Lonchura striata: one gene and its partners. The protein of the gene in region 4 purifies or fractionates together with the protein of the main gene of each other region. This does not show direct contact. Links are inferred from orthologs where the notes say so. Each region holds a gene or a part of one and is shown on either strand. Other genes may lie near its edges.

Region 1 (6,833 bases), on a different chromosome or scaffold from region 4:
CCGTGCACACGACAGCCCAGAAATCACACCCTGTGCCCGACGGCGCTGTCCAAATGTTTCCCGAACTCTGTCATGAGCTGTTCAGTGCTCAGCCACCCTCTGGGTGAAAAACCTTTTCCTGATAGCCAGCCCAAACCTCCCTTGACACGGCTTCATGTCGTTTCCTGGAATCGTGTCGCCGGTCACGACAAGGAAGAGATCGGTGCCCGCCCGTTTTAAAGCAGGTGTTTAAACACCGGTGTGAAAGCACCGGCTGTGCCGGCGAGGGCAGCACGGCGCGGCCGCCCTGGCGCGCCCGAAGCCCGGCCCGGGCAGCACCGGCTGCCCCGCCACACTCGCGGAGAGGCGACGGGCCCGGGCCCGGCCCCACCGCCCCGCCACTCACTGGACGCGCTTCAGATACTCCTGGGGCGTCCTGGGAGGCACGGTGGGATCGAAGTCCTCGGCCAGGTCGCAGTCGCCCACGGGCAGCAGCCGCGGCATCAGCTCCTCCAGGCCCGGCTCCATGGCCCCGCGCGGCTCTCGCGAGAGCGGCGCTGCCGCGCGGCGCGCGCCTCGGCCCGGCGCCGCTGGGCGCGCCCCGCGCCCGGCGTCGTGGTTGTCCGGGCGGTTGTCCTCCCGCCGGGGAGCACAACAAGCATGGCCGAAGAGCAGCGGCAGAAGAGGGGTTGCCAATCCACTGCCCATCAAACTACGCCTATTTTTGTGGTGAAGAGGCGTAAACCTTTAATAGCTTCCTTCATTAGCCGCTGTGACATTATTCTAATATGCTGTAGTTTTTGCCAAAAATTCTTTAAAGCTCACCCGTTAGTACGCTCTTATTTTACTTGTGAAAACCCAGTATTCGTAATATTTGTCCCTTTCTTGAAATGCTTTGAGATCTGTGGTTAAAGTCAGTTATATAGAAGTTAATGATTTTAAATTTACAGAGTTCCCATTCTGGAAGGATCAATGCCTGAGCTGTTGCTGTATGAATTTTTCTGAAGACTACAATGTGAAAGCATCCACATGTCAGAAAGCAAGGTAGCATCTGTGTTATAAGTTGAGGCGAATAATTTGATTCAGCCTTTTAAGATCAATTAATAATTTTATTAATTACAGCAAGCGATAGCAAGCAAAACAGCGCTGGGTTCAGCTGGGAGCCTGGCTCCGCCAAAAGCTGACAACCTTTCCTTCTCTTCAGTCCCTTTTTATCTTGCATGAGTGGGGGTGATGAGTCTCGTTCCACCGTGGTTATCAGTCCCAAAAACAATGGATTTTACAAGTGGGGTGGTGTGTCTTCTTCCACTTCGGTTTATCAGTTTTCAGCAACAATGGGTTTCCACTGCGGTTATCAGTTCCAGCCAGTCCTGCAAAATCTTTCACAATCTTTGTGGTTACCAGTCAAGCCTGCAAATTCCATGTCCCGACTTCCCCCCCTTTTATCCTAATTTCATACTTTTGATGAACAAACAAGTCAATGCAGTTTCTCACATCTGCACAAAGGGGCATTGTTTCCCAGGTGAGACAAAAAGTGAAAGGGTGATGCTGTAATCATTTACATTGTGTATTATGAAATTCCTGTTACACAAATGTCCATCAGTATATTATCTCTTCAATTAGTTCTGCAGTGTTAGATTTAATATTTCAGAGTAGTTTGAGATACTTCTGACATAAGTTAAAAAAAAAAAAACAACGTTTTCTTTTTAACCCCCTGCAAGCCTGTATTTCAGTAGTTCTAAATAAACATCTGCCTTAACTCCTCCTCTCCAATGGCTTTTGTTTGTTTTAAATTGTTTCCAAAAGCACCTACGTGTACCAGGGAGATTTTTTTTCCTGAAACCCGGATCTAACGTCTTAGTTGAGTATGCAACAATTGCAGTCACCACTAGAAATAAAACTTGCCTACTTAAACCTACAGTGATAACTCTGGAAAGGCTGATGATCAAGACAAAAACTTTGGTGAGTCCAGCTATATAAAGTTCTTTTATAATACTTTAGTAATATTCAGAACTTATTTTTCCTATTTGTTGTAAAGTCCAGAACTACGAACTTCATAGAATCAAGCGAATCCACAGATATACGCTTCAAATATACTTCCTATCTTTAGATCACTTTTTATTCAACTTTCCATTGATACTTGTTAAGCAAAGCAACATATTTTTAATTATTGCAGATAGTATTTCTTACCAACAATGCTGATGCAATGGCTAGCAAATATGACTCAGTGGAGAAAGAGGAAAATGAAATTGGAAATGTATATATTTCTTCTCACCTGCTTAGGCATTAAGGAAGAGTGCCTTCCCCAAGAAAGGTTGCATTAATGGATATGCCTCATTGGCTAAAAAACCAAACCAAAACAAAGTAACATATAAATTCTGCATTATGAAAAATTAAAATGTTTTCAAATCTACATTCTAGATATGAATATGGAGAGCTAGCAAAATATTTTCTTATAATGAATAAATGAGTTTATATCTATTTTCTACTTTTCTTTCTCCTTGATTTTCTCTGTGGTTAGCAGCGTCATAACAGCTGCATGACTTTAAGTTTAGAGCATTGGACTGAGTTATTATGTAATGAAATTTAATTGTACTGAAGATTAATTTAAAATACTGAATATATTTTATTTGTAGTAAACTTTCAGAGTAGTATACTTTGCTGTTTTCCCTTCTTGCCCTTTGAGTGTCTTTAAATGTCAGATGCCTCTTTTTCTCTTATTTATAGAGTTCATCCTGCATTTTAGACTTCAGGACTTGCCTCTTTTTTGGGGAATTTTCTGAAAATGTTTCACAAGTTATTTGAATACTTTTGAAATTACAACACTGAGTAATTTGCTGTGCATCTGTTTGAAGTGTGGTAGGGTTTGGGGGTTGGTCTGTTTTTTTCTTTTTTTCTTTTGAGTTCAGGGTGAGGATGTTACATGTCATTGGCAAGCTCTTGCTTAATACTCCCACAAATGGCAGTGAGATTTGTGAACAAGAAAATTAAAAATCCCTCCCATAAATTCTGCTGTTGCTTAACTGTTCATGTTTTTAGTCTGAAGAGGACTGGTAAACCATACTGGAGAGAGCAATGGCAAAGAAATTCTATCATAATCACATCTGACATATAAAAAAAGAGGGTAAAGTTGTTTTAGTAATTTGTATTTGCTTGATGGTCACAGAATATTTTCCGAGTTGCAATGAAGGAGGCAGGATATGGTAGCCAGTCAGCAGAATGTTTTCCAGTCCTCCCCCATGTCTGGATTAATTGCACTACGACATCTCAGGAAAGACAGAAGTTATTGTTCTGGCCTTTCATGACAGCCTTGTGAAAAACAATTCCTAAAACTGAAGAGTTATCTGTTAACTTCAGTTTGTGGATAAAAAAGCTGACCACACTAACAAGATAAAGGATTGTTTCAGGTTTAAACCCCCAGGAATATAACTTCATTTTGTTTTTTCCCCAGGCACTCAGAAGAAACATCTAAACAATCTTCCAGATTAAGAAGTTGCCATAAGTAGTCATGGTGGAAGATGGGAATAAGCCCGGCTGTTTCGATCCCGGAGTTCGTGCCGGACGGAGCAGCCCCGCACAGAGCAGCGCAGCCACCGGCGGGGCCGCCGGCAGCCCCGGGGCCGCGGCACTGCCGCAGGGAGAGACGGCCAAACTGCCCCCGCTGATCGGGATGCACACGACCGACCTTCAGAAGACAGCCGAACAGGGTGGCCAACACACACACGCGAGCAGGAGCTGCCAAGGCGGCGGAGCCACGGTCGGAGCCGCGGGGCGGCTGACGCCGGCCGCGCTGCCCGGGCCGGGCAGGCCGGGGCGGCCGGCGGGCTGTGCCGGGGGCGGGCGGGCGGCGGAGCTCAGCCCGCCCCCGCTCTCTGCCCTTGACGTGGCGCGGACTCTCCCATCAGCCATGTTGGTGCGTCGGCGGCGCCGGGGCGGCTGCGGGCGGGCGGGCGGGGACAGCGAGCGCAGCGGGAGCGGCGGCCGGGACGCGGGTGAGCGCGCAGCGCGGCGCTGAGGGGGAGCCCGGCCCGGCGGAGCTGGGGTGCAGGGAGGGGAGAGGGGCAGCCCCTCCTCTCCCCGCGCTGGGAGGCACGGGCACCCGGCCCGCGGGGCCCCGCACGGCTGTGGGACCCGAAGGGAGCGTGGTGGGAGCTCCCCGCGCCTCCTCCGTGGCGCTGGGGGATCTCCGGGTGCCAGAATTGCTGTCGGGGCCCCCGGCGGCCTGAGAGTCCGGGGCTGCCGCCGGGCGCTGGTCAGCAGTGCCCGCGGCCTCCCGGGCCGGGCGAGCAGCCCCAGCAGCCCCAGCTCGGCCGGGGGCCGGCGGGCAGGGCCTTGAACGGCCGGGGTGAAGGGCAGCGCTCCCCGGCAGCGCCGGGGTGCTCCTGTCCCGGAGCTCCGCTGTAGCTGTGCCGCTGTGCCACTGACGAGGGTGCCTTCCAGTGTAGGTAAAACGAGAAATGCAGGCCCTGCTGCGTTTGATTATGCATTGCTTTTTTTTAAATTTAGGTACCGTAGTTGTTTAAAGTTTTCAGTGAGAGATCTGGGAGGGCAGATTTGGAGGAGGACTGCGTTTGAGTGGTGAAAATGTTAGCAAATTGCTTTAGATAACTATTTAAACTATTGTGCTCATGTATTTTAGTTCTTTGGAACCGAATTTGTATCTGGTATGTAATTTGGTCATAAAAAATGAATTAAGGGTTTATTATTAATCTCTTTTACCAGGTTGTTAGTGCCTAATAATTTGAGAGAAGAGGTGTGTTGTAAGAAAAGTGTGCAGTGAACTGTACTCATTTAGTGGTAGTTAAACACACGGTGCTGTGAGGGACTTCGACCTATCTATGCTGGAAGTCTTACAGTGCTGTAGAGAAAAATGTTTTGATTTTGTATATGCGTGCAAGGATTAGGGGATATTATTATGTGGATATTCTGTATTGGGACATATTTGTCTGTGATGTGGAAACGTTTAAAGGTGCTGATAGTCAACCAGTGACTCTCAATGCAATTCAAGTGTGGCTTCGTTTGTGACACACAGTTGAGGTTGTCAAGGTGTAGGTTTGCAAAGGTATGTTCAGCTGTGGCAGTGGGACGGAGGAAGCAAGCCAGAAAGGACTTCTGGTTTTTCTGGATATCCTAATCTGTAGCAAAGGTAAAGCAGTGGGAACTGTTGCTTTTCAGCTGGCCTGAAAATCCCTTCTCTGAGGTTTTCTGAGGCAGGCAGTGCATATTTTGTGGCACTCAGGTGTCCGAAATTTGGGGTGTAGCCTGTAGGCCAGGAGGGTTTGCTGTTCCTGTGTAATGCAATACATCTCCACACCTATCAGAAAATGTGTCTACATAGCTGTAACAATGATACCGAATGTAACTTGTCAGACCAAGAGTTCCATATTTGATGAATGATGAAATAGGTAAGCATTATTGGCTCTTGAAGAGGAAGAAAAGGACAGAAGAAAAGGTGGAGGAGATCTTGATTATTAGCCACTTTTGCCTTCTGAATATAAAATCCATAATTAATAGAAAATAACAGTATTTAACTCAGTAAATCCAACAAGTCGTTTATGTATCTATGTGTATTAGTGATTAGTCACTGCACACTGGTGTTTGTACATTGCCCTTTCAGGAGCAATAACTGAGTGGTAAAAGTAATACCCATGTACAGCCATTTCAAACATAGCTAGAGCCAAATGTGGAGAAAATGCTTTGAAGTTCAGGGCAGACAGTGTGACACGTTGCAGTGTTTGGAGCTGGATTTTGTGAGTCTATAGTTGCTGCTAGTGAATGGCTGGAATAGCCTTAAGTTGCAATTTTCTCTGTCTTCTCAGGAAATAATTTTTAAATTGAGAGAAAATTAAATTTGTGGTGATAGTGGAGATAGCTGTATTGTGCAGATTCTTGCATTAATAGCCCATTTTTCAGAGATAAAATGCCTTCAACTTTTTTACAAAACATGGATGGATTTTGATTTATTAGGAGAGAAATTTCTTAAATTCTATATCCTCTTCAAATCCCAGGCTCTTCTTTCCTCTCTTATCTGAGTTAATTTCTGTCTCTAATTTCTCTGTAGAATTACAATTTCGAGATATTCTCTCTTTTACTCAGTTTTGTCTCCCCCCTTTTCTGAAATTCGAGTAAAAGCAATGGTAGAAATGCTCTTATGCACAAAGTCTCTCATGCTCCCTGTGTTGTAATTGCCGTGATGTGTTTAGATAGGAGCAGATTTGCTCCTAATATCAGTAAGATGTGCCCATTAAAATATTGTCAGTTGATAATTTCTTAAGGATATTAACTGTGAAATGCAGCACTTCCCTTTGCTTTATGTATTTTGTTAGTCTGTTTTCTTAAAAGTTACAATCAGAATAAAAGTGTTAAGTTAGGCTGTTATTTAAAATAACTTGAAAAATTGTCAATTGTCATAGAAACTAAAGGTGCAATGCCATTATAATTTTGATAGAATTTCTGTGAGCCTCCTGTAATGTATGTAAGATCAGAACTAAGAATATCAGTGTGCTTAGGAGCATTCCTGATTTAAATTTCAACTCAGGAGGATTCCAGCATTTATAATATTCATTAACTTGTTTAAGTTAATGAATATAACACTAATTTTAATATATTATAATAGTTATAATATATATATATATATATAATATTTATTAACTTGTTTAATGAACATTTATAATGTTCATTAACTTGTTACAGTATAAATTGAGACCTAGGAGTATTTCTAGTTCACTTTAGGTGGTTCATGTATGCTTTTACAGTAAATCCTTAATTATTTGGGAGTGTGAGTTTAGATATCCTAGTTCCTGGAAAAACCTGTGCTGTATATACTATAAAAGGTACTGTGAAGCATGCAGCAG
Region 2 (7,921 bases), on a different chromosome or scaffold from region 4:
GGATTTTGTTTCAAAAATCTAAATGAGCAAGTCTTAAATATATCATAAATATATCACCTTATAGAGGTGTTGGAATATCACTCACTCGGGTGCAAAAGCAAGCAGACACCCCAAAATTAGATAACGTGTATGGGACAGGCAGATAGAGAGCAGTTAATCAAGAAAACCTAAGAAAAGGGTTCCTTTTCCTCATTCCTTTCTATTAGAACACCAAATAAAATGGATATTTCTCAAGGCACAGCGCCTTCCTGAGCACTCATCTTAGTTAACATTTCAGACCATTGTTATTGTGACACGCCTAATATGAGTGATAAAAACATCACGTGGTGTTGAATCTTCCTATGTTTTATAAACTAGAGTGTAGTTTAAGAAAAGATATCTTCTGTAATAAAGTTATCTACATGCAAAGTTGTAGTTTGCAAAAATGATGTATTTTTTTTGGTTAACTGATTTGCAATAAATGATGCTTCTGGGCATCTAGATTTTACTAAAACTGGAACTTGGTGTTTCTGTTACGGGTCAGTTGAATTCTGGATTTCAGAGCTGCTTCTTGCACAGAGGACTGGAGCTTCCTCACCATCTTGTTCTCTGTGTAAAAAAAAAAAAATCAGAGAAGAGCTTTGGACAATGAAAATTTCTCTTTAATTTCTGCTAAACTCTCACTGATTTGAGATACCTGAGCAAGGTTCTGCCCATTTAGCTCTTCACCTGCTTTGGTATCCTCAGGCCATCGAGTCAAGATCTAAAAGGGGAAACATGGAAAAATTGTTTTAAAGAATGTCCCTCATGCATCTCCAAAAAACCCAGGAACAGCAGCACCAGAGGGAGAGTTTTACTTGCGTCACTCTGGGCACAAACACCACCCAGAAATGTTTGCTGTCCTTGCTGTGCTCAAGATTTTTAAGGTAATTTCATTTCATTTCATTTCATTCTTTCTCTACCCCACAGGGACTCTGCAGTGCAAATGCAGCTGCAAAGTCCCCAGATAACTGGATATAAATAGTGGAGCTGTTGCCCTCCTCCCAAATCACATAAGCCTGGAATGCTGGTATTTTCCACTCGGTGGCTGGGGAGGGAGAGGGTTTGTGTGTGTGTCCATCCCCAGATAGATCCAGGGCCACCAAACACCTGCTGTACAACTGGTGCTGTAACAGTGGCGTTTTATTTGATTTTCTATTTTATTTTATTGTATTTTATTTCACAGCAGTGAAATGCATCTTCAGAGGTCAGGGATGTGCCATTATTCCAGGAAAGAGAGCCTCAAACTCCATGGAAAGGAGTGTTTTAAGGGAGAACAAAACCTGTCTTCCACCTGAGAAACGTGGATTCAACACCCAGAGGGACATCCTGGAGGGAGCTGGGCTTCCCAGGGATGTGTCACCCCCTTCCTGTGCCTGCATCCCATCTGGAATGCACCAAATGGAGTTTGTCTGCCTCCAGCGTGACTCACACATGAGCTGCTCAGGAATCCCACACTGCCCAGCCTTCCAGGCTTCTCCCACACATTCCCACCCCAAAACCAGCCCAGCACGGCCCCGCTGCTGCCAGTGGGGCTGGGACATCCCAAAGTGAGGAGGCCTTAGAAGGATCCTCTCTGCCTCATCCAGAGTGAAACTGAGGCACTCGTGGGCAAGGCAGAAATTTGGCCTGGAATAGATGAAAAAAAAAAAAAAATGTTTATGAGGACATGGAAAACAATGTGACATTGCAAGAGGCAGCACATGTGGGCTCGTTTAACAAGAGGGGATGCAAAGCAGGGGATTTTCCATATCAGAGGGACAGGATGAGGAAAGAGGGGGGCTAAATACCATGGAAAGAAGCAAAGGGATGGATATTAATTAATTGTCCACAAGGTAATTCAAACTAGAAATCAGCAAAGGTTTTTAAGGAGTAGGAGAGAAAGGATGCAAAAATTTAGGTTTTAAGTGCTTAGCCCCAAATTACTTTGCTTTATGAAGGCATCTGGTGACCAACCAACCTGTGGGTACATGAGATGATTGTGGTGTCACAGATCCAGCTGGGATGGAGGCTAAATTAAAGGAGAAACAAGAGAAATGGCCCCAGTTTCAAACTCTCCTGTCACACTTAAGGCTTCTTCCCACACCAACCAACCCACGCTGCCCCACCACAAGCTCACCTTCGCCTCGTGCAGGTGAAGATTTTTGGGAGCTGAATTTGAAGCTCTCCCAGCACCAGAAGATGCCAAGGAGTGACTGGATCATGGCAAGCACGGCTGTCTCAGCATTCCAGGTGAAAAAGGCACCAAAATCACATCCTGCTCCGAGGGAAGGGTGCCGGAAAACAAGATTAGCACCGGCTATTGCCATGGCAGGTATGTTGGTGCTCTGAGGAATCCCTGCACCTGAACTATTTGTTTACCTGCTGGAGGGCTTGTTTTTTTGTTGGGTTTTTTTTTTTTTTTTTCATTCTTTGTTTTCATTATTCCTGCTCAATTAGATGGGACATTTAGAAACTGCTACTCTGTATTGCTTCTCCCTCCAGGCTGTCGGTGTTTGCTCGCAGCTGCTCCAGCCCTGATTGAGGAATTGTTGCTGAAGCTGAAATCAGCCCCTGAAGAATGTGCAAAAGGAGCCAAATTCATCTCGGGCTTAAAATCAAACAGGGGTTAATGTGGCTGGGGTAGTCTGAATAATCACAGCAACTGGATGAGTAAATAAATAAGACTCAGGTTGTCCAGTTGGCTATCATGGTGCAGAATGCTAGTAAGGGATAGAGATACTCTCCTTTAGCCTTTATCCACGTTTCTAAACTCAAAGAATGATCCTTTTCATAGCAAGCCCGTGGGGCAAGGTCGTGTTTCTGGTTGTGTGCAACCTGAAGACTGAATAAATTACCAGAAAAAGGTCAGAATTGTTTGTGTTGTATCCCAGGTGAGCTGAGGAACAGAGCAGCTGTGGCTGCCCTGGATCCCTGGAAGTGTCCAAGGCCAGGCTGGACGGGGCTTGGAGCACCCTGGGATGGTGAAAGGTGTCCTTGCCCTGGCAGGGGGTGGAATTTGATGATTTTTAGGGTCATTCCCAAACCATTCTGCGATTCTGTGAAGCAGAAGAGAAGGACACACGCTGTCCTCACTGGCAGGGATTTTCATTTATAATGGGTCACTCAAGTCCAGAACTACTGCTGAGTACAGCAAACCAGCTAGAAAACATCAGGTTAAAAAGGGATTGCATGCTTTAATGTAGAAATTCTTTATAATCACGTGTTTATCAGGAGAACAGCAAAGGTGAGATCCATTGTTGGTGTTTGCATCATGTCCCCCTATATAAGGGGGTTAAACATGTAACATAAATATCTAACTATAGACACAGATGTCAGCTATTGATGCTATTTAGCACACAAAAAGCCAATCGAGCTAATTAAAATCATGTTTCCTCAGATTACACCTGTTGGGGGAAATATCAAGGGAGAAGCAGGGCTTCATCTGCAACTCCTGCCTGCGCAGGGAAATGGTGTTTGACAAGCTGGTTTTTAAGAATGTTCCTACAAAAGAGGGAGATGAAAGGCACTTAAAAATCACAGCGCTGCCTCTGGTTCCCACACCAGCATCAAAGGCTGCTTCCCCTGCTTGGCCAGGGCTTTGAGGATATTTCTCTGCTTTAATGATCCAGCATGCAGGAACAGCTCTGCACTGATAGTGACCCTTGATTAAGATGTTTGTTTAGGTTGCTCGTGTTTTCCTCTCCAAGGCTTGTTGTTGGGTGCAGGGTGTGACAGTGTCCGTGCTGGTGGGTGACAGGCATTCTTCTGGTGGCTGGAACGGGGGTTCACCCCCCTAAAAAAGCTTCGTGTTTGTGTAAAATGGAGCTGCAACTCGCAGGGCCACGAAGCTGGTGCAGGGTCCGGAGCACCCAGAGAGGCTGGGGGGGCTCAGCCTGGAGAAAAGGAGGCTCAGGAGGGAATGTTTTGCGTTGCTTCTGCGCTTTTGATTCCCAAAGAGCTGTTTTTATGGAGTCACAGACTTGTGTGGGTTGGAAGGGACTTTCAAGATCATCTCCTTGCGCCCTGTCCATCACCTCATCCTCCCTGACGGGAGGATGGACACAAGGGACAGGGTGAAAGGACACGGCCTCCAGTTGTGCCAGGGGAGGCTTAAATTGGCTATTTGGGAAAATTTCATGGCAGAAAGGGTGGCTAAACCTTAGAACTGTGCTGGAATCATCATCCCTGGAGCGTTCAAAAGGGCACACGGATGTGGCACTTGGGGACGGGGTTTAGTGGTGAACACGGTAATCTTGGAGGGATTTTTCAGCCTTAAGGATTCTGGAATTAGTTTCTGATCCTGTTTTTGGACACGTGCATCCCAGTTAATTTGCCTTTCCTAATTAGGCCCCCACGGACGTGCAGGACAGGACCTCGCTGTGCAGCGAGTCACAGCTCAGCTCCGCGAGGCATCCTCATTTCCGTGGGCACGGATTCCTCCTCTCGGGGAGCCCCTGAGCCTCCCCCGCCCCGGCCCGCGATGGGCAGCGGCTCCCGCGGGGCCGGCACCGCACCGGCGGAGCTCTGTCCCGCCCTGGCGGCCGCCCGCGACACTGCACCCGCACCGGGCAGCGCAGGGCACCGCGACCCCCGCACCGCACCGCGCTCCGCCACTCCCCGGCGGCACAGGGGAGGCGCCGCGAACGGGACTCGAACCCGCGACCTTGCATCCCGCAGCCGCTCCAGCCGGGACTCGAACCTGTGATCCTACATCCCGCAGCCGCCCCGGCCGGGACTCGAACCCGCGGCCGCACGGCAGCGCCGCCGCCGGGTGCGCGCGCCGCGGTGGCGTCACGGCGCCGTGACACGTCGGCGGCGGCGGCGGAACCCCGAGGCGGATGTGCCAAGATGGCGGCGGCCGGCGCTGGGGCCGCGCGGGGCGGCGGCGCCCGCTGCTGAGGGGCCTCGGCCGGCGGCGGCTGCCAGGTACCGCGGGGCGCTGCCGGAGAGGAAGGACGCGGGTGGGCTGCAGCGGCGTCAGGCTCGAGGCGCGGTGCCCGCCCCGCCGGGCCTCGGGGCTGTCGCAGCGCACGGAGCCGGCGGGTCCCGCCGCTCCCGGGCCCGGCTGGGGCGGGCCGTGCTGCCGCAGCCGGGGGTTTTCCCGCAGGGTTTGGGGTTCCTTGGGCGGTCCTTGTGGCTCTGCGGGGCTCCGGAGGTTGTTCCGGGGGAGCGGCGGGGGAGGGTTCCGAGGGATGCTGGCTGTGGCTGTCCCCGCTGGCAGCGCTGCTGCCGGGGCAGGGTTGTTTGGGTTGTTTTTTGCGAGCTGCCAGGTGCCCCAGGTGGGTGCAACTGGTGCTGACTCAGGAGTGCGGCTGCCGGAGAGCCTCGGCACCTGCTGGGCTGAGAACCGGTGACTGGATCCTTTTAGAATAAACCGGAATGCTTTCTGCTGCCTCTGTGCTTTTGGTTCCCAGTGAGCTGTTCTGATGGAGCCACGGACTGGTTTGCTTTGGAGGGACCTTAAAAATCATCAAATTCCACCCCCTGCCATGGGCAGGGACACCTTCCACTGTCCCAGGCTGCTCCAAGCCCTGTCCAGTCTGGCCTGGGACACTTCCAGGGATCCAGGCGCAGCCACAGCTGCTCTGGGCATCCCCACCCTCACAGGGAAGGATTTTTTTCCTGATACCTCAGTAAACCTGCCCTGTGCCTGTTTAAAGCCATTCCCCTTGTCCTGTCGCTACATTTTAACATACATAACATATATGTTAGACGACATACATATATAGGATAACATTTATAACTCTGGTTGCTGTTGAGGAAAAGCCTGGTAGGAATCTGTCAGGAGAGTGAGTGATGTAGAATGTGTTCAATCTGTCACCCACATGTGTGCAGATGTGCGGCTGCCTACGTAAGATAAAACTGAAAAAGTAGTTGCTGATTTTAAAGCTGCAAATCTCATTTTTCCAGATGTTCTGTATTTGAGATTGCACTGGGTTGTTGGGGTTTTTTTGGTTTTTTTTTTTTTTTTTTATTTGGTTGGTTTTTTTGTAGTTGTTATTGGTGGTTTTTTTAGTCATTTTGTTTTTAGGAATCTGTGTATGTGAACACGTTATTTATTGTTTGCTTCACTTGTGAGGATGAGAGTTAATATTTGTCCTCTGTAACCTGCTTTATGGCCGTAGTTATTCTGTTCAAGAGTAATTTATTTAGATAGGTTTTAATTAGTTGCCCCCAGAGGAATTATTTACTTATAGATGAAGCTATAGAGCTCATTGGGTGAACTTAATTTTATGGCCTCATCTAAAGGGTTTTAATCCTTTTTCCCTTTTTGGCAATGTTATTTTGGTACACTGGAAACGCCTTCTGCACTCCTGGTGACTCATGTTTAGCAGGCTACTCTGCTTTATCAATTAATAAACCAGCTGAAAGTTAAGAATTTCCAAACTCTACAAAGCAGAGGTGGATTGCTCTTAACTTGTGTAGTTATTTCTAAATTCCTTAAAATCAGCATTTTTGTTAATCCTGGATGAGGCACAGGAGGGTCAGTAGCACTGAGTTATCTTCTGTTTAAATTACTCGACATGGGCACATTCATTTTATTTGGACTCAGTTCCTCAAATCTTGCTTGCTTTTACTACTGTGTGCAATCTGTTAATATTAACTTTGCTTCTGAGGAAGCTGATCTCTCATACTGAACCTCTGTCATGCACCATCAAAGATCCTGTTAGAGGAATGGCAAGTTCTGCCTAAAAGTAGGACTTTACACTTATTTTAATTAGCTAATTACTGGTGCTGGCTGTTACAAAAATATGGTAAATTATTAAGATTTTTTTTTAATATGACGCTGCAAGGGGTAAAGTCCACATTAGACACGTGGAAGTGGGTATTTAAGTTGGCTTTTGTGCTCAGCTGTATTTCAGAAACAACTTTTCTATGAAAAACAGAGCTATTTATTAGATACCAATATTTTGGTCAGTGCAGTTTGTGCTTTCCAGGTCATACAAGCCTTGGCAGATGGTTTAATTAGCTTTTTTCCTCCCCAGCCCAAAGTATGTTGTATAAACACATGCTTTTATTTGGAGGGGAGAGAGGGGTTTTTGAAATCTGGTTAATACAACAAAGAACATGATGAAAAAGAAATGGGGATGCCCAGAAGAGCATGTGGAAATTGGGGTGGGGGTTTAGGCAGGACTTCCTGGAAACGTGGCTGGCAGCAAGGCTGGTAAGCACGGCCAGCTGGAAAACCTTCACCTCAGGATTGTAACAGGAGAAAAGATTGCAAAGTCCTGAAACTCTTTGTAAGCATTCCTTGATGGAATTCAGCAGCTGTGCTTCAGAAAGAACGGTGGTCACATGCAAGTAACGTGTGAAACTGATGGAGCTCTAATGCCTCTGTTGAAATCTGTTTGGTATCCTTCCCATCTTAATAAAACACAAATTTATGGAGTCTTAACTCTAGATATGGCTGTGGAATGTATGGATATGGGGGAGAAATTGAGAGTCTCTGTTTGAAAGAGGGACCTGGATTCTACACAAGGCTGTTGGAGACATTTTTCTTTAGGAAGAGTTGTTCTGATGTCCAGTAAAGGCTGTGTGCTGCGGTACTTCAGTGTGCTTTTTATTGGAATATTTTAGGTATAAATCTTTATGAAATACGTGTAGTATTTTTGATAACAAGAAACCAGAAGTGCTTTGCATTTGAACTTCTCTATAACTGTTACAGTTTTGTCCTGATTACAAACATCTGACTTTTCTGGCTGCCCATTTTATTACTCTTACTGACAAGATGCTGAATCTTAGAAGAACTCCAAATGAGAATTGCACAGCTTTTTTCTTTTATAAGCAGAAGAGCATCTGGTGTGGAGCAATTGCTGTGGGTACTTCACTCTGCATATTATAAACAATGTTTGTTGTGTGCTATGAGAAAACAAGATTATCATATGCTGATAAGGCTTCACTGAGCTCCACTGGCTAAGTA
Region 3 (7,766 bases), on a different chromosome or scaffold from region 4:
TTACTTGGCAGTAGCCTTTGAGTGCCTCTGGTCGGTGGAGGATTATCTTCCAGAGGATGAATGTTCTCAAGAATATATTCCCAAATCTGGTGGTAGCTTTTGTTAGTTTTGACATAAGAGACTTAAAGTCAACCCAATTCCAACATTTCTTCCTCTGCCTTCCCGGAACCATTCTTCTCCCACAGCACCACAATTCTGCATGCCCTGAAAGAACTGAGAATGGGACAAAACTCTCGGAGGATAAAAACTCTCGTGGGATAAAACTCTCAGAGAAAAAGGAAACTTCTAATAACAGAAACTTCAACAGAAAACATTTTCTCTCTGAATGAACAATAAAAGACATCAGTCTTGTGTCTAGAAGTACATGAGCCTCCAAAAAACTTTTTATAACTAAAGTATTTCAAATATTTTTTTTTTTTAATCAATGAGAATTGTTTGTAATGGTCCTGCCTGTACTCACGCCAAAGCTCTCCTTGCTATCTCATGGGCACATCTGATCTGTGTCTCCAGAGTTCTTGCACACTTCCACTCCTTGAACACCACAGTGCAGTGCGAGTCACATGGGCTCCGTGAGGTCCTGAAGGTGGCTTGGATGCAACCTCAGCTCTTCCAAAATCCATCTATCTGTTCCCTGAAATCCTTGTTCCTCCCTGTGGCAGACTCACACTCGTCCAAGCCATACCAAACCATACCACCTTCCCAAGTGCACAGCTGTGGGAGAACAACCCTCCCCAGGTTACTCTGCTGGGCAATGACAGCTCCAAGCACTGTTATCCCTGTGAGCTGCAGACAAGGGAGCAAGGGAGGAGTGAGAGGGATTCCAACCATGATCCACACAAACAGCAAATGCAAAACACCTGAAACTGGGCATCTGGGCTCTGCACTGCTGTTCCCAAGTAAAAGAGTCTGACTTGTCTTTCTAAGAGAAAGAGTGAGTACATCTGAGAGAAGGAGGGCTGGGGCACAGCCAGAGCAGCTGTGCTTCCTGGGGATCACATCTAAGTATTCTTAACCTACAGGACCTGCAGGCACAAACTCACATTTGCAGAAAACCAGGTTTGCTTGGCAGTGTGACAGCAGGTTCCCCAGCCTGGCTTGTGGAGGAGACACTGAGCCAGGACACACTGCAGCCTTGGAGAGCCAAGACTGTTCCCACAAATGCTGGGAACTGTGTCCCTGATGTCCCAGCACAGGGCTGGCAGAACACCTGAGTCACCAGGGAGTGCCATGTTTGGGTCAGAGCACTCTGCAGGAAGTCCTGGGGCACAAGAGCTGGCCTGACCAGCTCTGCTGCAGGTGAGATTCAGTACCATCCACCCCAAAAGTCATGGAACACAGACTTCAAAAGCCATTCCTCCACATCCCAACTGCCTCTTCAAATAGGCACAGCACAGGTGGCTCCTCCACTCACTAGGCTGGCCCTGTTCCAGTGGCAGGAGGTGTCTAAGTCCAAGCCAGTCTGAGGGAAAAACCCCAAAGGAAGCTACAGATGAAGTTCTCCCAAGTTTCTCCCTTGCACCACACCAGCTGGGACCTTTCTATGCAATCCCAGAGGACACTCCAAGGACCAGACAGGTCCTATCAATCAAGCCAAGGAACTTGGCTGTGGACATTAACCCAGACCCAAAGTGCAACTTAAATCAGAGGCCTAGAGAGCTGGTCCCACCCCACTCAGAGCAGAGCCAACACCAACATCCCATCAGGCTGCTCAGGGCCTTGTCCAGGTACATGGAAATGCCTTTGGAGCATGGTGTGTTTGTATAGAGTGTTCTAGACAGCATCACCACTGTGGGGTTGAAATGCATTCCCACAAATGGGATTACATGTTCCTTTTCAAAGCCCCTGCTCTACTTACTTGCTTATTCTGAAAGAATATTGCTGCAGTGAATTTATTTGTACATTATTTCTGAGCCCTACGATGCACCTTGCTCTTGCTTGCACAAATATGATAATTTCTCTATTTAGTTCTTTTTTCCTATATTAAAAATATGTATTTAAAAGGATAAATAATATATGCAGAACATTAATATAGAGAGCAATGCAATATATGTCACCATTCAAATAAGATTTTGTACCTAATTAACAAACATACAGTAAATTATGGTGTGCTTTTCATCCTTTGAGATATAAAGTTTAATTTCAATACGCAATTTTTACAGTGGCTGCCTTAATTTTCCTCAGTTTTATTTTCTTGAAAAAAATAATCAAGTTATAGATAGAACACCTGATCTGGAAAGGACCCACAAGAATCATGGAGTCCAACACCTGGCCCTGCACAGACACCCAACAATCCCACGCTGGGCACCCCTGGCAGCGCTGTCCAAACCCTCCTGCAGCTCTGGCAGCCTCGGTGCCCATTCCCTGGGCAGCCTGGGCAGTGCCAGCACCTCTGGGGGCAGGACCTTTCCCTGATCTCCATCTAACCCTCCCTGGCCCAGCTCCAGCTGTTCCCTGGGGTCCTGTCCCTGTCACAGGGAGCAGAGATCGGAGCTGCCCCTCCTGAGGAGCTGCAGCCCCAGTGGGGTCTGACCTCAGGCTCCAGGGTGAACAGACCAAGTGCCCTCAGCCGCTCCTCGTGTGGCCCCTCCAGACCCCTCCCTATTTCTGTGTCCCTCTTTTGGACACTCCAATAACTTCAGATCCTTCTTATATTGTGGTGCCCAAAACTGTCCCCCAGACTTGAGGTGAGGCTGCACCCCTACAAATGGTGGGGGAGCCACTGATTGTTCCCATTTGATACTATCTGGGATTTCATCTGTAGCCTTGGACAATCAGCACCAGGTGGACACAGAGGCTGACAGCTGGGAAATGAGGTGCACAGAGAGCACTAAGCAGGCAAGTGCTGCCTCTTTCCTCTGTTCTTCCAGGCTGTATCTCCCATGCATGAGTCTGCTCTCACACTCTGGTCACACATCCCTCCTGGCTTAGAGCTCCCAGAGGAGCAGATGATGATGCAGTCTCACACACATACTGGTACCTGCCTCCAGCACAATTTCTGCTTGAGTTGTATCTAGAGAATGAAGTGCTGCTGACTCAAAAATCCCCCCTGGTAGAGCATCTGCCAGCTCTGAAGGTAGTGGTAAACTGCCCTCCTTGCCAAACACTGGATTCTCATCTCCACCTGCTGGGTCTTGCCAATCATTTGCTTCTTTAGCATGTCTGAGGTCAAACAAATCCTCCAAACTCTCACTCCATGTACAGCCTTCAAACAGAGTGACCCTGGTTCTTGGAGGAGGAAGCTTTTGAATTAATGATCAGCCTGCAGTCCAGGATAATATCTCAACCTTGATGTACAGGTTTCTTAAGTCATACTCTGTTCTACATTTAGCTGGGAATTTATCTCAGGTTGTTGACAATGACTCTGCACCTGACTGTATGGATTCAGGTTTTAAAATTCATCCCCAAGCAGGCTTGGAAGCAAGCTCGAGGGCAGGAGGGGAGCGGAGGCGGCTCAGGGCTGTCAGCTGGAGGCGATCTGCTGGAGATGTTGAGTTGCATGTGTGGGAAGAGCTCAAAAATAGTATGAATTTTAAAATCCTGGATTCTAAAGCAGGCTCCTGGTGCCTGGCTCACAGCTTGGCTCCCGCAGCCCTGGCAGAGCCAGTTCCAGGGGTTCACCCGGCAGGAGCAGCACCAGGGGAAGGAGCAGCTCACACCATGCCCAGAGCTCTGTGAGGGCTCTGCCTCCAGAGCCCTGCGGCAGCGAACCGAGAACCATGGAATCACAGGATCATTAAGGTCGAAAAAGCCCTCTAAGATCACATAGTCCAACCACTCCCCAGAATTGCCATATTCACCGTAAAACCATGTCCCCAGGGGCCACATCCACACATATTTTAAACACTTTCAGGCGTGGTGATTCCACCATTCCATGCCGACTGTCCTGGGCAGCCTGTGCCAGGGCCTGATCAGCCCTTCAGGGAAGAACTTTTCCCCAGTATCCAACCTGAACCTCCTCTGGCCCAGCCTGAGGCCGTTCCCTCTCCTCCTGTCTCTGTTCCCTGTTGCACAGCCCAACCCCCCGGCTGTCCCCTCCTGTCAGGAGCTGTGCAGAGCCACAGGGTCCCCCTGAGCCTCCTTTTCTCCAGGCTGAGCCCCTTCCCAGCTCCCTCAGGGATTCTCCAGCCCCTTCCCAGCTCCCTCAGGGATTCTCCGGCCCCGTCCCAGCTCCCTCAGGGATTCTCCAGCCCTGTCCAGGCTCCCTCAGGGATTCTCCAGCCCGGCCCCAGCTCCCTCAGGGATTCTCCAGCCCTGTCCCAGCTTCCTCAGGGATTCTCCAGCCCTGTCCAGGCTCCCTCAGGGATTCTCTAACCCGGCCCCAGCTCCCTCAGGGATTCTCCAGCCCGGTCCCAGCTCCCTCAGGGATTCTCCAGCCCCTTCCCAGCTCCCTCAGGAACTCTCCAGCCCTGTCCCAGCTCCCTCAGGGATTCTCCAGCCCCTTCCCAGCTCCCTCAGGGATTCTCCAGTCCTGTCCCAGCTCCCTCAGGAACTCTCCAGCCCTGTCCCAGCTCCCTCAGGGATTCTCCAGCCCAGTCCTGTCCCAGCTCCCTCAGGAACTCTCCAGCCCCTTCCCAGCTCCCTCAGGGATTCTCCGGCCCCTTCCCAGCTCCCTCAGGGATTCTCCAGCCCGGCCCCTCAGGCTCTCCGCGCTGCAGGTCCCGCGGGGGCCGCTGGGGGGTGCTGCGGGGCCCGCCCCGGGCTCGTTGCTCGGCAACCGCCCGGCACCCAGGGGCGGGGCGCTCCGCGCGCGGCGCGATGACGCAATCAGAGCGCGCGGCAAGGGGAGAGGGAAGGGCGGGGGGAGGCGAGGTGTGCGGGCCAGGACCTCTCCCCGCGGCGGTGAGTGCGGCCGGGCCGGGCGGGGCGGGGCCGGGCCGAGCCGAGCCGAGCTGGGCCGAGCCGGGCCGGGCCGGGCCGGGCGGGGCGGGTGTCGCCGGGGCGGCCGCGCCGCGGGGTCGCGGTGGGCGGGGGCGCCGGGCGGGGCGGGCGCTGAGGGCGGCGCGGCGCAGCGCCCCCTGGCGGCGGCGGGCGCCGTGCCATGTGGCCGTGCTGGCTGTGCCCGCAGGTGCCGCGCGCCATGGCCCCCCCCAAGGACATCATGACCAACTCCCACGCCAAGTCCATCCTCAACGCCATGAACGCCCTGCGTAAGAGCAACACGCTCTGCGACGTCACCCTCCGCGTGGAGCACAAGGACTTCCCGGCCCACCGCATCGTCCTGGCCGCCTGCAGCGACTACTTCTGCGCCATGTTCACCAGCGAGGTCGGTGCTGCCGCCGGCCCTGGGTGCTCCGTGGGTGGAGGAGGCAGGGCCGCCCAGTCCTTGGGCTGTTCTCTGTTGAGCTGCTCAGCAGCTGGGCCAGCATCCCCCCGTGGGGGCCCAGGATCCCCTTGTGGTGATCCTGGATGCTGGAGTCCACTGGATACTCCCGGTGGTTGCTCAGGATGCCCCCGTTGTAGTTCTTGATCCTTTCATGGTGGCTGTGGGTGCTTCAGGAATCCCTATGGTGGCCCTGGATTACTCCATGGTGGTCCTTGGTCACTGTGAATCTCTCCATGCTGGCCCTGTAGCCCTCTGGGTTCTGTCTTGGTGGTCCTGGAGCCTTTCGAGGTGATTCTGTGTCTTCTTATGGTGGCCCCAGAGCCGTTTATTGTGACCTGGTGGGGAGTTAAGAGGTTGTGGCAGGAACTCTGGCCTTGATTCACCGTCTGCAGCGACCACCCTGTGCCCAGCGAGCTGCCAGGCTGAGCTGCCAAGCCAGAGAGTTGTGATACATTTACTTATTTTTCTAGTGGTGCTTTGTGGTTTCCGTGGTTGCGGGCATCTTTCCTGGCCTGGCACAGAGCTGTGGGAGCCGTGCTGGGGATTCTGGGCAACCCTTTCAGTGCAAGGGAGGGTGTTTGATGCATGCTCTGGGCTGCCCTTGGCACTGGCGGAGAGCTGGGCTGTGCTGCTCTCCTGCCATGGGGGTGGCTCTGAGCCCCAGGTGCTGCACCCAGCACATCTCACCTGTGAGCACCCTGGCTCTCAGCCCTTCCTGTGAAACTTGCACTACCTGTGTGCAGTTTCCCTGAGTCACTGACAGGCACTGCTTCAGCTGCAGCTGGCACTCTGTTAAATGTCAGATGCTTTGCCTGGCTTTGTCTTTATAAGTTGTAGTCAATATTACCAGCTTTCTGTTATGGAAGATGCTTTCCTTATCCTACTACCTTCCCCGTGAGCAGGGAGAAACATTGTTAAGTAGCTCACAGGTCCTAAAGCCCTCCCTGCTAGCTGAAGAATCATTGCAGCAGAGAATTATTTTTCTCTTTGTTTCACCCAGGCACAAAGGCTGTGGCAGAGCTCTCTGTGTGCCCACTTATCTCAGTGCTGTCAGGACAGCAGGTGTTTGAAGTCCTGTCTAAAGAAACCAAAATGATGCATGTGTAGCCTGACCTCAGACCAATACCTTTTTTTGTCCATATCTTCATGAAATTTGTAAATTCATCAGGTTTGTGCTCTTTCTCTGCATAAAGGAAATGTAATTAGATGATGAAAACACACAAAGCACATTCAATCCCTAGTGGCTGAAGTTCTCTGTTCTCCAGTAGCTCTAGGTGCTCAGCAGTACAGCAGAGTATCTCTGCTTCTCTAGGTTTGCCTCCATGTTCCTGTCAGTGCTTTTGACTTCTGGACTTCGTGTGCAGAGATCCCATCACTCCGTGTGCTCCAGAAGGTTCTTTGTGGCTGCTAACAAAGGCTGGGGGTTGGTGTGCTTTGGGTCTGAGCTGAGATGTCTCTCCTTGCTTCGTTACACTCGTGTTAGCTGTAACATCATAGTGACCTTCATTCAGACTTGAGAATCTTCCTAGGAAATTAAATTCTTCCTGGGAAAGTAGCTGTGCTCAGTAGGCAAAATTGCTTGTTCTCTCGTGCTCCCACAATGCCTCTGCTTTAAGGGTTTCTTTTCTTTTGCTTGGTTTGTGTTTCTTCCAAACTTGTGTCTTTGTTATGGAAACCCTAAAGTGACCAACCTGCCAAGGGGTACACAACTAGGGGCCAGGAAGGGGCAGCTTGGTAAGCCTCAGAGTGGACATGTTTCCTGTGTGTGTCAGCAACAAGTGTGTCGGGGCCTGTGATGGGACTGCTTGGACACTCTCCAGGCACTTGTGGGTGCAGGGTTTGGCCAGACTGGACTCCAGGGAGCTCAGAGTCTGTGTGGTGTCATGGATTGACAGGCCCTGCCAGGGCTTTCTCAGCTCTCCATTGCTTGCCTCCTGCAGGTCTGGGGACTGCTTGGCTGCTCTGATGTGCCAGGCTGGGCTGCATGAGGCTTTGTTCAGAATTGATTTTGGGTTTATGTCATGGCATCCCTGGCATTTTATCCTGGGGTTATGCCACAGTATTCCTGGTGTCACATCTGTGCATAGCCAGTACAGCACTGAGACTGTCAGCAGATACTGTTGTCATAAAGAACTGCCTTTGCCTCTCTGTGTCTCAAGTTTCCTTCCTTCTCTCACTTCTGACTTTTAACATTTTAAAATAAGTTCTCAGTCTAGCTTAGTATTAATTTCTTCCCATTTTATGTTCCTTCCTGTTTTACAGCATGAGAAGAAGCCACTGACCACCTGATGAACCCCAGGTTTCTTAGAGCACTTTCCTTTGCCCCTGTGCTAAGCAGTGTGGGAAAAGTGAAACACCATCAGTTTTACCTGCAGGCTTGTTCCTTGTAGTGAAAATTGCAGAGCAGTTTTATCACCCCTGGATCTTGGCTGTGCACTGGTAT
Region 4 (7,401 bases):
GCTGCTAGGAACCATTCAATCCCTTGTACACTGAAAATAGAAATCATCACTGGGAGATCTAATCAGGACAGATGAGATGGCTGCAGAGGAAAATCCTGTTGCTGGGAGCCTCAGGTATCCCCTGAAAAGCTTATGCATTTTTATGATACATAGTTCCAAACACAGCTCAAGTTTTCATTTAATTCTGTCTTTCATCCCATTGGTACCTCAGCTCTACTGTCCCTCCCCTGATTTCGCAGATTGTCCTCTGACAGGTGAGTAAAGAATCGGTAACTTTTAGGCTCTGGACTCTACATTTCACCCCATTTGCCAAAGGCTGGGACTGCCCGTCCCTCGGTGACAAATGGGAACAGACAGTGTACCTGTGGCAGCTGGTGGCAGCTCAGAAATAACTGTTTTGAGGCCGATGCTGGAGATGTCTCGCAGCTGTTCCTTGTCCGACAGCATGTTCGTGCAGAGTGTGTCCACGATGGTCTCCACCTGGTACTCCTTCACTTTGCCAACCAGCGGGCCCAGGCTGCAGGAGGAGAAGCCACTCAGGATGAAGTGTCCAACTGTCCTCATCCTTCAAACCATCACACTGCTCCTTCTTAAAGATCCTGGCCACCTATCTGGGAATGACTGACATTTCGCTCTAAGCACCTCCTTAGGCACGGAAAGGAAATATTCCTGGTTCCATTTTGAGGCCTCCTCATTATCACACTCTGGATGGATAAGAGACTGCAATGAGTATGGACTTACTGCAAATACAACCAGAGATAACCACGCAAAGAAGTTGAGAAGTTGGTCCTCTGCTCAGTGCCCAATGGTTTTGCTTTAAAACCCAGAATAAACCAACCCAAAGCAGATACAGGAGATACAGGAGCAGGGCCAAAAGAAGTCAGGACAGTTGGAATCAAAAAGAAAGGACCAAAGATATCAGGGAAAGAACAGGGATAGAAACAGCACGTGGTTGAAAAGAAAGGAATACTAATAGGATCCACAGCAGGAAAAAACAGAGGAACCCAAAGTTGTCTTTAAATGGTACACCTTTCTGGAGTCCTGGGGTGAACTGAGCCATTCAATGGCATTTCTAGACTGAACACGCCCACTTAGCCATGCTAGGGAAAGAGATGGGAAAGAACATGTCAGCAGCAGGATCCCTTTATCAGAGGATTCACTAATAGAGGAACCTGCTACTTTTGTTCACTTGGATTAAAAAAATATGGGAATGGTCACAGGCAAAGCAACAGCACCGGCTGCTCTCAAGAGTCAAGGCAGGGAAAAATCCAAGTGCACTATAAAGTTCAATAAAAACTCCTTTGAAGAGAAGGATTTGGACCTGAAGTTAAAGCCTACTATGTTTAGTACCATTGCTATCAAAGACAGATCTACAGAGAAAATCAGCACTGGATTTCAAAGCCTGAGAGAGGTCAAGAGGTTGATGAGCAAAATTTTGAAGTATGCTTCTGCCTGAAGAAATAAAATCCTAGGGCTCCACCTTCCACATGGTAAGGTTTGTAACAGGAACACTGAAGTACTTCTAAAATCATCTCTTGCTGCTACAAAGGTATCTGTGTGCTCACCCTTGTGAGTGCCTACAAGGGGAGAAAGTGCAGTGCCTACAACAGAGAAGCAAAGTCCCTTGCAAAGGAGGTTTGAGGGAGGTGTCAAGGGCCAGGCTCCGCTCTCACACTCTCTGCAGTCTGTGATGATTTTATTAATGCCAGGGAACATAACTATTACTGCCTAGGCTCTTACCATTTGACAGCAAGGTTCTGTACTTCCCCATTTTTGTCCTCCAGCAATTTCAAAAGCATTTTCACAACTTTTTTCTCACTGTCTTCATCTAGTTTTATTGAGTCTTTCTGCAGTTCCATCATCAGGTCATTGGTGGCCATAAACCTGAAAGAACACAAGGAGAAAGTGGATTGGCTGATGTGCAGACACAAATGCATCACCTTTGCATCACCTGGACAGAATTTGGCAACTAGTGCTAAAACACTAGTTGAAAACACACTACCAAAGAGTAACTTACAACACTGTCCTAAGAAAAAGGAAAATTAATACTATTTTACAAGTAGATAACACTTACAACATAACACTAGATAACAAGTAGATAACACTAACAGGGGTCAGGTAAACAAAAACTCTAAAAGTGGCATGTAGCATGTGTATTTTTCTCAGCGACTAAATGAAGATGGTTAACTATGCCAGAAAAAAAAATCATGATTGGTTTTTTAACCAGTTTTTCACCTGGCCTAGGAAAAGCAGTCTGGGGACTAAGAATTCACCTAGCTCTGTTCTTTCTGTCTAACTTAGCACTGGTAGTATGACCCCAGACATGGTCAAGCCCTATCACTTTCAAAAATGAAAAAAGAAAGTCATGACTTCAAGCAAACTACACCTCAGAAGTGCACTAGGCTACATTTAGATTGCTGTGAGCAAAACCAGTCAAGTAACTACCATTCCAGATTAGAAAGAAAAACAAAGACCAAATTGACAGTTTTCTAACAGGAACAGAATGGATATTGAGAAGCTCTGGAAAGTATCTCTTTTTCCAGGAGCAGGAAGTGCAGAAGGTGCTGTTATAGAACTCTGAGGTTCTAAGAAATCTCAGTGTGGCTATCGTGTGTTAGCTGCTTTCCAATGTTAGCCCCACACAGAATGGACGTCTGACAGGAACCAGGAAGTCCTCTCTTGTTACAAAATGACAGCTCCTTTTTAAATTAGGCTTTGATGTCACTCATTCAGCACATAAGAGCTCTCATGTACAGGTCATCATTTGAGGCTTCAACCTGCAAGCCCGTTCCTGAGCAGCAGTGAGGCACACCTGAACGAGGGACTGCTGTGCTGTTCCCCAGCCAGCCCAGAATCCAGCCTGAGAAAACAGCAGTAATGTGCCCTAGGATGTTAACGTGCAGTCTATTTGTGATTCTGCGAGAGCTCTTCAGCCGCACTCTGCAGTTCAGCGTCTGTGTGGAACCAGCATGACCAATTATGGCCACAGGCTGAACAGAGCCTTCCGCGGCAACACATCCCGCTTTGGCCTGGCTGCCTGCTGCCATCCTGCCCCAGGAGCTTGGGATCTCACCAGCAGACCCATCCCTGAGGGGCAACAAGAGAAGCCTGGCCCTATAACAGGTCATGTTTAGCCATGTGCTGGGAGGAAGTGGCCCTGCAGTACCTCTGGGACATGACGTGCCTGGGGTCGGGCACATCTCACTTGGAGTGGTAACTTTCTTTGAACAAAACTGTTTGTACAACTGCTCCATCACTGACTTCTTTATAAAGTACCTATTTTAACATCTGAGAACATCAGCAGCTTCTACAAAAATCAACCTACTTTTAGGCTATTAGTAGCCCCTTTCTTAGACCTCAAAATACCAAGTCTGGCCCAAATATTACCTTCCAGTTTGATACTGGGAGAACAATATGCTAAGGAATGAAATCTTTCATACATGTCAGTTTTAATTACTTTTTGATAGAGTGCCTTACATATCGAGCCATCTGCCTAACCCTAAAAAGATGTCAACTTTTCTGCTGACATAAACAACGAAATAAAAGTATCTCAGTTCTGTTAGGAAGGCACATTTTCCCATCACAAAGAAAGTTCTCCAAGCAGCCTGAGCAGAGACAGTATGTGCAGCATCTATCACGCAGGGTCATGGGGGTCTACTCACCCCTTTTAATGCACTGACTATCTCACCAATTATCAAAAGAAACTAGAAGCATTTCTGCTACGATGTTCTTTATTCACAAAACAAATAACAATTTGGAGTCCAGCTGCCCGGACTTATTCCCCCTTCCCCTTTGACCAAGCACCAGTCTAGGCAAGGGAGGGGAGCGGCGCTGGCCATGCCCCCTGAGCCAGGACACAGTGGGCTTGATGCCCCGTAAACAACAGCGCTGCGAGCTCCCGCACAGCGCTGCTGCCGCGGCAGGACCCCGCTCTGGGCAGCCCCCTCCTCCCAGGGCCCCGAGGTGTCCGCAGGTGGCTGCCGCCCGCAGGGCCCGTCCCGCGGTGCCACACCTGAAGTCCTTGTCGGTGGAGGTCATCTTCTCCAGCAGGCTGGAGATGTGGTAGGAGACGCTGGCCATGGCGGAGGCTCTGCGGGCCCGAGTCGCGGCCGCTCCGCTCCGCGCCGGGCGGCCCCGAGCCGGCGGGAGGAGCCGGGCCGGGCGGCCCTGGGGCCGACAGAGGCTCTGTCCGCGGCCGGCGCAGGACGGGGCAGCGCCCGGGGGCCGACAGAGGCTCTGTCCGCGGCCGGCGGTGCCTCTGGTCCTCGCGGCAGGACAGGGCAGTCCCGCTCCCCCCTCGCCCTCTCCTGGCCCAGCCGAGGCAGCGGCCGCCCCGGAACCCGGCACGAGCGGAACGCCGTCGCAGGCGGGCGGGGCGCGGCGGGGCCGGTAGTGCGCGGGACCGGCGTGCCACGTCTGAGCGCGCGGGCGGAGGCCGGGCCGGGAGCGCCGGGGCCGGGAGCGGCGGGGCCGGAGCAGCCGGGCGGGAGCAGCCATGGTGAGGCGGGGGGGGCGGGCGGGTCCCGGTGCGGGCCCGAGCGCAGCCGGGTGCGGCCTCGCGGGGCACCGGGCACGGCACAGGGTACGCCGGACCCGGCGGGGCGGCCGGGGATGGACCGGGGCCGCAGGGGCCGCGGCCGCGCTGAGCTCGTTGTGTTCCTTCTCCCCGCAGGTGTCGGTCATTAACACCGTGGACACGTCCCACGAGGACATGATCGTAAGTGTGCCGGGAGCTGCGCCGCCCGGGCCGGCGGCTGCTGTGGCAGAGCTGCTCTGGGGCTCTCTGCGAGCACTCGGGGCCGCACGTATGTGCTGTAAGAGCGCACTTGTGGGGTCCTGGATGCAGAATGCGGTGTGAAATCCTGATCTTGCCGTTTTATACTGCGTGGAGAGGAAAACTTTGCTGGGAGGAAAAGGGAAAATTATTTTAAATCTTAATGTTCATGTGAAAATTAAGGCTTGTTTCTGCCCGTTTCTGTGAAGTAATAGTATATTTTCTGGTACAGACCTTTGGTGGATAATAATGGTTTTCCTTTAAGTGGATGTATCTGGGAATAGATGTATTATTGTGGGTAGGCAGAAACGCTTCAAAGTAATTTGTTGAAGGTAGGAGCCCAGTTAGGTGAGCCTAGTTCTTCAGGAAGAATTTCTTCACAGAAAAGGCTATTAAGCATTGAACAAGGCTGCCCAGGGAGGTGATGTAGTCACCATCCCTGAAGGTGTTCAGGAAATGACTGGTTGTTGTATGCAGTGTTCTGCATAGTGACAAGAGATAACCTTTGGTCAAAGGTTGTAGTCAGTAACCTTGAACGACTTTTCCAGCCTTAAAGATTCTGTGGTTCAGTGATGGTGAAGTTTCAAATATAATTAAGAGCAGTATTTGTACACCCACTTGACATTTTAAGAAACAGAAATACATAACTGCTCACCTCTTCGTAGTCAGCAGCCTCTATTCCCTGTCATGAAAATGCTGTGGTTGTTGCTCAGAATTCCCTGGACTCCTGTGTAACTTTTGTGTAGTGATTGAGGAAGCAGCTGGGGAAGCTAGTTGGGCATGCGTGGGTTGTTTAGAACCGTTCCTCTGACCTGGTGTGCAGGGCCTGGGGTGGCTGTGCTGCAGCAGTCAGTGGCCGTGCCGTGCTGAGCACAGCCCTCCCGCTCTCCTTGCAGCACGATGCACAGATGGATTACTACGGCACGCGCCTGGCGACCTGCTCCTCTGACCGATCCGTGAAGATCTTCGATGTCCGCAACGGGGGGCAGATCCTCATTGCGGACCTGAGGGGGTGAGATGTCACACCAGGAGAGGTTAACTGGGGCAAAATCTTGGTGCTTTGCCTGGTGCTTTGCCCTTCTGCCCTTGGGCAGCACAGAGTGCAGGTTGACTTGCATGCAGGGTGAACTCCTCCAAGACTGCTGAGGAGCTTCTCAGAGCTGGGGTGGGGACAGAGCCCCAGTGGGAAGCACAGTGGGGCTTGATCATTCATTTAGTACTGTGCACATGTGATTTTCAAGAAGTAATATACTGCTACAAGTTGGAATTGTTTTCTGTGGCAGTGAGAGCCCTGTGCTGGGACACTAACATTGCCATCTTGGCATTACTCATTCCTCATGTCAGAGCTCTAATCCCTCCCAGCACAGCACTTCACAACGGTGATCTGTGAGGCAGCTGCAGATGCAAGGGGTTTCTCTCAGCTTTTCCTAATGATGTTGTTTCTTGCAGGCACGAAGGTCCCGTGTGGCAGGTTGCCTGGGCTCATCCTATGTATGGGAATATCTTGGCTTCCTGTTCCTATGACAGGAAGGTTATCATCTGGAAGGAAGAAAATGGCACTTGGGAAAAGACCTACGAGTACACGGGACATGATTCTTCAGGTATGGAGGGCTGGAGTGTGGAGCTGGGAAGGAAAAATGAGGAGATGAGGGGATTTGGGTAAGACTGATATAAATCTGTTACTGTTAAGTAAGAAAGTCTGTGTCAAAAGGAAAAGGATAAAAACTGAAGAGAGAGTAAATCTGTTCAGCGCTAACAAGACATTTCCCTAGGGTTGTATTGCTGGATAACCCACTACTGATTCATACCATGTGTCCATAAGTGTTGGTACACAAATAAGTCAGCTTTCAAATAAAGATGTCACGGAACTGAATTCTTGAGGAAAATATAGTTTACAGTTAGAAAAACTATTTAACCGTGCTGTATTTTGTTTTAAAATTGAAAATGTTGTGTTCAGATGATTTACCCTCCCAATGCAGATCTGTTACTCAGTAAACAATGCTAATTGGCTGGCTTCTGCTGAAATTTGACTCATTCTCAGCTTTCAAAGCCACTTGCTTTTGGTGACCGTGCCACTGATACCAGTCAGTGAATTGGTCAGTCAGCTTTAGGTAGTCGCTGTGCTGTAATCTGGTCTGTCTCGCCCTTCCCAGTGAATTCTGTCTGCTGGGCACCACACGACTATGGACTGATCCTGGCCTGTGGGAGCTCTGATGGGGCCATTTCCTTGTTGAGCTACACGGGTGATGGGCAGTGGGAAGTCAAAAAGATCAGCAATGCACACACGGTGAGTCTGGTCCTTTGGAGCAGCTCAGAGTTCCCAGAGCTGCAGATAACACCGAGGTGATGCCTCAGAGACATGAGTAGATAAGTACTGAAATGTGATGAAATTATGTGAAACATCCAGAACCAAGAATAGTTTCAGTTCATCCAGAGTAGGAAGGTATATGTTTTAGTCACTAAAATGTGAAATGTAAAGTGGAAATATGATGAAGTTCACTAAACAGCACTGGCAATGCCTGTTTATTGGGCATTATTGTTAAATACACTGCTGAAAGCTACCTGGTAAGAAATGGCCTTGGTTCTAAGTATACATGCATCAGCTGGAAAAAAATGTGGGACTTCTG

Evidence for each region.
Region 1: the proteins of SEC13 (region 4) and SEC23A fractionate together in Homo sapiens (co-fractionation; 3 studies listed by BioGRID and IntAct, with this or other methods). This does not show direct contact. The link is inferred for Lonchura striata from reciprocal best matches to the Homo sapiens genes SEC13 and SEC23A.
Region 2: the proteins of SEC13 (region 4) and SEC16A purify together in Homo sapiens (co-immunoprecipitation; 4 studies listed by BioGRID and IntAct, counting the BioPlex papers as one, with this or other methods). This does not show direct contact. The link is inferred for Lonchura striata from reciprocal best matches to the Homo sapiens genes SEC13 and SEC16A.
Region 3: the proteins of SEC13 (region 4) and KLHL12 purify together in Homo sapiens (affinity purification with mass spectrometry; 3 studies listed by BioGRID and IntAct, with this or other methods). This does not show direct contact. The link is inferred for Lonchura striata from reciprocal best matches to the Homo sapiens genes SEC13 and KLHL12.

The regions. Positions count from the first base shown.
Region 1 is NC_134608.1:23,826,323-23,833,155, forward strand, and holds the start of SEC23A (protein transport protein Sec23A), read left to right. Parts: upstream 1-3,829; 5' UTR 3,830-3,892; intron 3,893-3,934; exon of another isoform or gene 3,935-3,971; intron 3,972-4,309; exon of another isoform or gene 4,310-4,424; intron 4,425-6,833. Other genes in the region: GEMIN2 (gem-associated protein 2), read right to left, coding at 386-507.
Region 2 is NC_134624.1:8,862,064-8,869,984, forward strand, and holds the start of SEC16A (protein transport protein Sec16A), read left to right. Parts: upstream 1-4,908; 5' UTR 4,909-4,926; intron 4,927-7,921. UniProt on the Homo sapiens protein: Acts as a molecular scaffold that plays a key role in the organization of the endoplasmic reticulum exit sites (ERES), also known as transitional endoplasmic reticulum (tER).
Region 3 is NC_134632.1:520,404-528,169, reverse strand, and holds the start of KLHL12 (kelch-like protein 12), read left to right. Parts: upstream 1-4,755; coding exon 4,756-4,839; intron 4,840-5,065; coding exon 5,066-5,263; intron 5,264-7,766. UniProt on the Homo sapiens protein: Substrate-specific adapter of a BCR (BTB-CUL3-RBX1) E3 ubiquitin ligase complex that acts as a negative regulator of Wnt signaling pathway and ER-Golgi transport.
Region 4 is NC_134614.1:23,855,001-23,862,401, reverse strand, and holds the start of SEC13 (protein SEC13 homolog), read left to right. Parts: upstream 1-4,399; 5' UTR 4,400-4,495; coding exon 4,496-4,498; intron 4,499-4,672; coding exon 4,673-4,717; intron 4,718-5,670; coding exon 5,671-5,786; intron 5,787-6,223; coding exon 6,224-6,375; intron 6,376-6,927; coding exon 6,928-7,061; intron 7,062-7,401. Other genes in the region: cullin-associated NEDD8-dissociated protein 1, read right to left, coding at 363-517, 1,741-1,884, 4,013-4,080. UniProt on the Homo sapiens protein: Functions as a component of the nuclear pore complex (NPC) and the COPII coat. At the endoplasmic reticulum, SEC13 is involved in the biogenesis of COPII-coated vesicles.